Ovis aries: one gene and its partner. The protein of the gene in region 1 purifies or fractionates together with the protein of each later gene. This does not show direct contact. Links are inferred from orthologs where the notes say so. Each region holds a gene or a part of one and is shown on either strand. Other genes may lie near its edges.

Region 1 (4,432 bases):
ACTGCCAGCCCAAAGCCCATGCCCCCTGAATAAAGACTTTCCTTTGCTGTTAAAAGCCCTGACATGTGTGTTGTGGGTTGAAGGAAAGGCACTAGGGTCCTCACACCAGGATGCATTCATCTGCAGCCACAGGCCTGGAGCTTTGTGGAGGAGCTGTGCTAAAGCCTGGGACTGAACTGGGCACCTTGAGATGTGTAGCTTCCCACGAGAAGGGCATGGCAACCTGCTCCAGTATTTTTGCCTGGAGAATACCAGGGGCAGAGGAGCCTGGCGGGCTACAGTCCATAGGGTCACAAAAAGACACACGACTGAAGCGATTTAGCATGCACAAACTGCTGGTTGAGCTGTTTAAGCAGCCCGCCTGTGCCTGCCTCTGCTCTGGGCACTGGGGACTGGAGGCAGCTGCACACATAGCAGTGGAATGGGCATACATGGAGCCAAGGGTACAGGATGTGGAAGATCTGAAATGTTCCTCCTAGCTCCCAAAAGGGCAGGCGAGACCCCGCCTCTGGACAGAGGCTTTTGAGTGCTAGGTGCGTGACAGAGTTTAGAATCTAGGAATGTGACAGCCATTAAATAGGTCACTTCACTAGTGAAGATTTAATTTTTAGGTAATGGAGCTACGTGATCTGAGAGAAAAGTATAGAGAGCAACAAGGTGGTGAGTCTTGTGGGTCAGGAAAGGCTTCCCAGAGGAGGTTTTGTCAATGCAGAGATCAGATGGAATGAATGAGAAGGGTGACTATGAAGACTCATTTGAGCCTAAGAGCTGTGTGCAACTGATATAGGGTTTAACCAAGGAAAGAGTGTGACCAGATTTCCAACCTAGAAAAGAGTCCCCTCTCTGTAGCATGGAGTATAGTCTGGGGTGGAGGGTGAGGGGCAGGAATTGTGGGGAAACCAGTGCTGTGCCCAGCGGGGAAAGGATGCTAGCTGAGACAAGCAGTAATCCAGAGAAAGAACTGGCTAGATAAAGGGTCCTTTGGGAGGTGAAATAAGGCTTGGCCATGGGCAGAGCCCAGCATGCCTACAGGCCACCTGAGGGACAACCATGATGCCCCTTCTGAGAGAGGAAGGATGGCATCTGAAACATGGAAGACAGATCAGCATCGCCTTGGCTGAGAGGACTGAGCCTCACTCAGTGTTTGGGTTCTGGGAAGAAGGCAGAGGCAGCAAACAAGAGGCAGGAGTTGGGAGAAGGACAAAAGGTAGCCATGACTGATGCCGTTGAAGATTGATAATAATAAGAACAGAGACTTGGTCAATGTGATAGCCTTAGGGCACTGAGACTTGAGGTTAGAGATGGGGTCAGGGTAGGCAGAGCTCGGGGCTCAGGCTGGACAATGGCTAAAGAGGAGGGATTTGTCCCTCTGTTCAGTCAGAGGACCCAGGAGCAGCTTGGAGTGCCAGGCAAGGGACATCTCCCCTCTTCCTAAGCTGCGAAAGACCAGAGCTGAAGGTGAAAGTGAAAGAGAAGATGCAGAAAGGGACCAGCATGCTCTGAGGAAAGGTGAAAGCGAAAGGGGGAAACAATAGTGCAGCCCGGCAGAGGACAAGCCTTCCGCCTTCTTTCTTGCCTGCTGATCCCACTCCTCTGACCCCCTGCCTACCTGGAGATGCAGAAGACAGTGCTAGAGCCCCAAAGCGGCTTCTCCTTCGAGAACTGTGAGAGGTGAGGGCGGGAATGGTTGGTTTCCCAGCTGCCTATGCCCTTCAGCGAGGGCTTCCGGGAGTGAGAACCCCGGGATCTTTAAAATTTCTGGGGGCGAGAGTAGGGGAGGGTACGTGTGTTGAACGACTTCGGTTCCCAAGTTTACCCCAGGAGGTGAGGGAAACCGGGACAGAGGTAGGGGCTGTGATGAGGGTCCCATAAGAACTGAAACCTGGGCCTCTCCTCTCCGTTTCCAGAAACGCAGCCTTGCAACGCGCCCTACCGGGGCTCCGGGTCCCTCACGCACGCAAGACCGGGACCACCATTGCAGGCCTTGTGTTCCAAGTAAGCAGGGAGCTGGGATGGTGCGGCCTAGAGGGGCGGCGGGAAATGGGACGTGGGGACTAGGCCAACGGCTCCTCCCCCCTACCCCCAGGACGGGGTCATCTTGGGCGCGGATACGCGGGCCACTAACGATTCGGTCGTCGCGGACAAGATCTGCGAAAAGATCCACTTCATCGCCCCCAAAATCTAGTGAGCATTCCTCCGCCTAACTCTCCCCCTCCAAGAACCGCCCCCTCGTTCCCATCCCGGGTGCCAGCACGTCCTAGCAACGCCCACACGGACCCCTCCTTTCGCCCTCAGCTGCTGTGGGGCTGGAGTAGCCGCGGACGCCGAGATGACCACGCGGATGGCGGCGTCCAACATGGAGCTACACGCGCTGTCCACGGGCCGCGAGGCCCGCGTGGCCACCGTCACCCGCATGCTGCGCCAGACGCTCTTCCGGTGCTGAGGCGGGTCTAAGCTGACCCCGAGGCGGGGCAGCTGCGGGGAGGGCGGGGCTGAGAGGACGCAGGACCGGAGAAAGGACTGGGCTGCGAAGTCCGAGAGCCCGGAAGAGGCGGGCCTAAGAGCAGCTAAGCGGGCGACGGCGGGGAGCGCTGTCAGTTATGGGGAGCTAGACCGCGCGAAGGGGCGGGGTTCGGACGCAGGGGCTGTTTGTGGAGGGGCGGGACCTGGGCTCCGGTGCTTTCCACTGACCGTACCCACTCGGCTAAAAGGTACCAGGGCTATGTGGGAGCGTCGCTGATCGTGGGCGGCGTGGACTTCACAGGACCGCAGCTCTACAGCGTGCACCCCCATGGCTCCTACAGCCGGCTGCCCTTCACGGCCCTGGGTGAGCGCTTCTGCCCGCTCCCCAAGAACCTTGCTATGCTACCTTGACCTCAACGTTTATCCCACGACTGGGCGGCCGCAGTTGATCTCAGATGGCCCTCTTGCTTGCAGGATCCGGCCAGGATGCGGCCATAGCAGTGCTAGAGGACCGGTTCCAGCCGAACATGACGGTGAGTGACAACTGCCCCCCCTACCCCCACCACATTACGCGAGCTTTGATGGGAAGTGCACCCGTGAGCTGGGGAAACGCAGAGGAACCCTGGCCTAGTCGGGGAAGGCTTCTCGGAGGTGACTGAGTGGAGACTGAGGGGCCAGTGGAGTGAGGGTGAGGTGCTATTCTAACAGTGCCAAAGCTTGGACTGCCTCAGAAGTCAAAACTCAAAGTGCCATTTGAACTTGAGGAGAGAGGAACAGCAGGTGGGGTCTGGGGTCTGGATTTTGTTTGGGATGGATAGAAGCAGAAGGCATATGTATGTCACTTTATAAGCAGCTAAGGCCCAGAAAGAAAAGGCAGTGAGGGGGGAATTGGGGGTGGGTGAACAGGCCAGTGGAAGCACAGCCACAAGTGTGACTCAGAAGCTTGTGAAGATGGGGGCAGTGGGAACATGGGGTCACTGTACAGGGGGACACTGAAACCAGGATAGAGGAGCTTGGGGTGGAGATGGGGGTGTAGGGCGAGAGAGTGGGAAGTTTGGGTGTGAGCAAATGAGGCCTGGCTTCAAGATGAATTGTCTCTAGGCTACAGCCTAAGGGTGATCTAGAAGGGTCCATCAGGCCTCACTGACACACATCATTGCAGCTGGAGGCAGCGCAGGAGCTGCTGGTGGAAGCCATCACTGCAGGGATCCTGGGTGACCTGGGCTCTGGGGGCAATGTGGATGCATGTGTGATCACCGCGGCCGGCGCCAAGATGCTGCGAGCCCTGAGCTCTCCCACAAAGCCTATAGAGAGGTAGGAGCACTGGGGGTGGAGGAATCCCAGGGGAGGATGGATTTGGTGGTAGCGGGAAGACAGGGCTATAGAGGACGGGACACTTGATGGGCCCCTTTTGAGGGGTCATCCCTGCTTCTTCCCAGGTCCAGCCAGTACCGCTTTGCCCCTGGGACCACACCTGTCCTGTCCCAGACAGTGGTGCCGCTGACCCTGGAGGTGGTGGAGGAAACTGTGCAGGCCATGGATGTGGAGTGAAGTAGGCTGAGGCTTAGAGCTTGGAACAAGGAGGAATAAACCCAGAAAACACAAACACCTACTTCGGCAGATGACTGTCTTTCTTGGGTGGAGGGGAACAAGCAGCCAGCAGGGCTCTGTGGCTAAGGTGTCCTGCAAAGGCCATTCCTTCCCATGGCTGCAATCTGGCCTGAGGGGCACCATTTACTCACCACCTTAGTCATCTACCCCTCTAGAACCCCAGCCCTGGCAAGCCATTGCAGGCTCAAGGTGGAAAGCCCCCTCTGCATACCATGGAGGCTCCCCCTACCACTCCCATGCCCTCTGGTCCACTGGAGACCATTGTACAACCCAAAGGGCTCTATGTACTGCCCCCACGAAGAGCCTTTACTTGCCTCATCAGTGATCAAGGACAAAGCCCACAGCTCCCAGTCAGATC
Region 2 (4,468 bases), on another chromosome or scaffold:
GTAAGTTTTTCACAACTAGTAAATATTGGAGCTAGAATTATTAACCCAGGCAGTATGGATCTGTTGTTTGTGCTCTAAAACAGAGATCAGCAAGCAACAGTCCTGTGGCCACTGTTTATATGGCCTGAGAGCTAAGAAATGATTTTACATTTTTTAATGGTTGAAAAAAAAGAATATTTCATAACAGGTGAAAATTACATGAAACTGAAATGCCACTGTCCATATGGCGCCCCACTCCAGTGCTCTTGCCTGGAAAATCCCATGGATGGAGAAGCCTGGTAGGCTGCAGTCCATGGAGTCGCTAAGAGTCAGACACGACTGAATGACTTCACTTTCACTTCTCACTTTCATGCATTGGAGAAGGAAATGGCAACCCACTCCCGTGTTCTTGCCTGGAGAATCCCAGGGATGGGGGAGCCTGGTGGGCTGCCGTCTATGGGGTCGTACAGAGTCGGACACCACTGAAGCAACTTAGCAGCAGCAGTCCATAAATAAAATTTTAGGGTAACTAGCCACACTCATTTATTTAACTGTATAGCTGGTTTCCTGCTACAATGGCAGAGTTGAGTAGTTGCTGCAGGTACTACAAAGCCTAAAATATTTACTATATGGTCTTTGACAGAAAAAGTTTGCCAACTCCTGCTCTAAACCACACTATCCTCAAAAAAGAAACTAACTTCATAGAGATAGTGCTGTGAAGGTACTAAAACAGGCTGCTTTCTAATAGACTTGGAGGGAGTTATAAGCAGAGTTCTTTCTGAAGAAGTGATATCTAAGCTGAGAACAGAATGACATCCTGAGGCAGGGTAGGTTGTGTCAGGCAAAGGGATTAGCAAGAGCAAAGGCCTTGAGGCAGGAATGAACAACGCTGGCAGGTCTGAGAAACAACTGGAAAGTCCAGGTATTTATAACTGAAAAGAGGGAGAAAACAGTGGAAAGCAAAGTTGAAGGGGAACAGGTGCCAGATAGGCCTTTTGGACCAGGAAAGTCCTTTGGATTCTAAGGTCAACAGGAAGTTGAGAACGTTTTAAGCAAGAGCAAGGTGGAATCCTGCTGCTGCGTGGTGAGTGGGTTACAGAGGAATGGAGTCCACAAGGGTCTTAAGAGAGCTGACCAGGTCCTGTGATGGGATGATGCCAGAGTCTGAACGTCACTGCGTGGGCCAGACGATGCCCGTGGAGCTAGGGGTCCACGCTGGCAGGGCAAAGGAAGGGAAGCCAAGTCTTGCTTCACCACCCAGAAGAGAGGCAGATAAGGCTAATCACTGTCCCAGGCGGCGCTGGGAAGAGAGCCCGAGGTCTGGGGCAGGGGGCGGGAGGGGCGGGGAATCCTGAGGCGGGCCCCGGCCTCGTGGCCGGGGAGGCGGGGCGTCGATGGGAGGGTGGGGCAGGTGGGCGGGGAATCGAAAGACCGACAGTGATGGGGATGCGGGGTGGCGGAAAGGCGCCTCTCCGACTCTAGGGGGAGCCCCGGCTGGGCTACCTCCCGGCACTCAGCTCCTCGCCTCTCTCTGGTCTGTCCCCGCCTCCTCTAGTACCTCCACTCCCACTACCCAGGAAGGCCGTGCGGGGAGCGAGCGCTGCTTTCACTTTCCCTTCCCCGTGCCCACTCCTCGCTCCGCGTGCTTCGCCAGGCCCCTACCCCGGCCATGGCCACGCTCAGGGTCCTGCCCGAAGCCCAAGCCAAGGTGAGCGCTGCGGGTTCTAGGAAGGGCCCATCAGGGAGGGGTGCCTCCGAGACACTGAAGGAGTCCGTGACCCGCCCCTCAGCCCCTCGAGTAGGGGTCAGTCATCCGAACACTCATGGGCCCCGTGCCCAGAGCACCTGAGCCCGGAGAGCCCCGCCAGGTCTGCCTGCGGGAGGAGAGGCGAGGCGGCCGAGGTTCAGCGGGGTGAGGTGAAGCGGAGCCCTGGCGTGAAGGGGAAATCTGCTGGCCCGGCGCCCGAGCCCACACACAGACGGGGTTCGGGCTCTGCCCTGCCACCATGGGAGGCCCCGCGTCCATTCCACAGGGCACTCCGACCCTGCCCCAGTCGCAGCAGCTCTCTTACATCCCTCCTCCCACTGCCCACCGAGGGATCTGTTCCCTCTTGAACAGTTCGCCCTTCACTTCCAGGAATGTTATTCCCCAAATCCCACCGCACCCAAGTCAGACCCCATGCAACCCTAAGGGTTCTCGAATAAACTGGCCATAAAGCCAAATTCTGAAGGGCTGCTTGTGTCCCACAGGTGGATGTGTTCCGTGAAGACCTATGTACTAAGGTAAGACCTGCACGGTCATCACCCCACCCCTCCCCAAGCCCACTGCTCAGCCCTCCTTTGCTAGGCAGCGGCAGCCCTTCCTTCACTGCTTAGGAAGGGAATTTGATTCTGACCCCCATCCTCCCTTACCGTTACCCTACACACAGACAGAGAACCTGCTCGGGAGCTATTTTCCCAGGAAGATTTCTGAGTTGGATGCATTTTTAAAGGTACTGGGGCTGGGCAGGGAGTAGAGGCCAAAGGGAGAGCTTCAGGGGCTGTGAGAGTGAGGAGGTGAGAGCTCGCCCCTGCCTCCAGCCCTTCTCCCACCCTGCACCAGGAGCCAGCTCTCAATGAAGCCAACCTGAGCAATCTGAAGGCCCCATTGGACATCCCAGTGCCTGATCCAGTCAAGGAGAAAGAGAAGGAGGAGCGGAGGAAACAGCAGGAGGCAAGATGGGAATTCCTGGGAGGAGGGACCCAACCCGGGGAAAAATCAGCCTCAGGCCTGACTCCCAAGAGCCTCCCTTTCCCTGCAGAAGGAAGACAAGGATGAAAAGAAGAAAGGGGAAGATGAAGACAAAGGTATCACTATGGTGGAAGGGACTTGTGTCTCACTTCCCAGGAGCTCCTCCCTAAGGATGCCTTTTCCTTACCTGGCACAGTCCCAGTCATGTGACTGACCCAGTGCCCACCTCCTAGGTCCTCCATGTGGCCCAGTGAGCTGCAATGAGAAGATTGTGGTCCTCCTGCAGCGTGTAAAGCCTGAGATCAAGGATGTCATTGAGAAGCTCAACCTGGTGAGCCCCCCACTTCCGTCCACACACTTCAGGTCAAACCCTTTGTCTTCCTTTCTCCCTACCAGTTGGGCATGGCACCTGCCAGGTCTTAGCAGGAGAGGGCACAGCAAGTAAAGCCAGAATTCCAGGCCATGGCATTCAGGACAGACCTGACACACTCCCATTCACTGTGAGCAAGGAAACAAAGGACAGGAAGCTGGGAATTGGGTTTGAGACTGATGGGGCTTCTTTGCCATTCCCTCCTCCCAGGTCACCACCTGGCTACAGCTACAAATACCTCGGATTGAGGATGGGAATAATTTTGGAGTGGCTGTCCAGGTGAGAGCACTGCCCCACTCCTCTGCCAACTTTCTCTCTCCAGTCCTTGCTGCTTTCCACTTTCCCTTCTGCTTTCTTTCCCCAGGAGAAGGTGTTTGAGCTGATGACTGCCCTTCACACCAAGCTAGAAGGCTTCCACACTCAAATTTCCAAGTGAGTCATTGCCCATTGCTCTGCCTCTGGCAGAGACTGAGGCCTCTGCTCCCTCCTCCTCCTGCTCCATACCCTTCTACTTCCCACAGGTATTTCTCTGAGCGCGGTGATGCTGTAACTAAAGCAGCCAAGCAGCCCCATGTGGTAGGTGAGGTCTCAGTCTGGGTGCAAGGGAGGAGGGACACTTGAAGTCAGGCCTGATCCAAGTTTCCCGCAGGGTGATTATCGGCAACTGGTGCACGAGCTGGATGAGGCAGAGTACCGGGATATCCGGCTGATGGTCATGGAGATCCGCAATGCTTATGTGAGGAGGCGAGAGTTGGGGGCGGGCTGAGGCAGCTTTCCCAAGCCACCCACTCCCTGACCCTGCAGGCTGGGGTGAAGGGTTACAAAGTGCAACCTCTCCACAAGGCTAGAAATGGGGTACAGAGCCACTGGGAGCTGGTGGCTGACTCTCTCCTCCCTGGCCCCATAGGCTGTGTTATATGACATCATCCTGAAGAACTTCGAGAAGCTCAAGAAGCCCAGGGGAGAAACAAAGGGAATGATCTATTGAGACCCTCTTCTCATTCTGTGATGGCTCCAGCAGAGACCTTCTGACTTTTACAGGGGACTCCAGACTTTCCCCACCTTCTGCCTGTTGGTTTCTCCCTCACCTTTGCCTCCCAGGCACAATAAACATAGTCATACCATTGCCCAACAGCCCAAGTCTCTTTATTGGATCCTGAGCCTCCCCTCTGGCCCTGGCTCAGGTATTTCCATTTGTGGGACCAACCCACTGGGTGATCTGGGCGTTGAGCTGCTGGTTGGTCCAATCCTCTCGGATGTCATCAAGGTGGCAGTCAAAGTCCACAAGGTGCTGGTGGGCCCGGCCCTCTAGTAATGCTCCCACCATCTGCCGTGACTCTTCCCAGTCCCTCCACATCACTCTGAAATAATAACCTCCATGGCAGTCA

What was found.
Region 2: the proteins of PSMB10 (region 1) and PSME1 purify together in Homo sapiens (affinity purification with western blotting; 3 studies listed by BioGRID and IntAct, with this or other methods). This does not show direct contact. The link is inferred for Ovis aries from reciprocal best matches to the Homo sapiens genes PSMB10 and PSME1.

Annotation. Positions count from the first base shown.
Region 1 is NC_056067.1:34,980,061-34,984,492, reverse strand, and holds PSMB10 (proteasome subunit beta type-10), read left to right. Parts: upstream 1-1,546; 5' UTR 1,547-1,615; coding exon 1,616-1,671; intron 1,672-1,907; coding exon 1,908-1,995; intron 1,996-2,086; coding exon 2,087-2,184; intron 2,185-2,295; coding exon 2,296-2,436; intron 2,437-2,711; coding exon 2,712-2,827; intron 2,828-2,937; coding exon 2,938-2,996; intron 2,997-3,625; coding exon 3,626-3,777; intron 3,778-3,902; coding exon 3,903-4,014; 3' UTR 4,015-4,075; downstream 4,076-4,432. Other genes in the region: LCAT (phosphatidylcholine-sterol acyltransferase precursor), read left to right, coding at 1-33. UniProt on the Homo sapiens protein: The proteasome is a multicatalytic proteinase complex which is characterized by its ability to cleave peptides with Arg, Phe, Tyr, Leu, and Glu adjacent to the leaving group at neutral or slightly basic pH.
Region 2 is NC_056060.1:20,828,746-20,833,213, reverse strand, and holds PSME1 (proteasome activator complex subunit 1), read left to right. Parts: upstream 1-1,532; 5' UTR 1,533-1,648; coding exon 1,649-1,687; intron 1,688-2,229; coding exon 2,230-2,262; intron 2,263-2,408; coding exon 2,409-2,471; intron 2,472-2,581; coding exon 2,582-2,692; intron 2,693-2,780; coding exon 2,781-2,826; intron 2,827-2,943; coding exon 2,944-3,041; intron 3,042-3,290; coding exon 3,291-3,359; intron 3,360-3,444; coding exon 3,445-3,512; intron 3,513-3,601; coding exon 3,602-3,656; intron 3,657-3,729; coding exon 3,730-3,816; intron 3,817-3,987; coding exon 3,988-4,068; 3' UTR 4,069-4,206; downstream 4,207-4,468. Other genes in the region: EMC9 (ER membrane protein complex subunit 9), read right to left, coding at 4,261-4,441. UniProt on the Homo sapiens protein: Implicated in immunoproteasome assembly and required for efficient antigen processing. The PA28 activator complex enhances the generation of class I binding peptides by altering the cleavage pattern of the proteasome.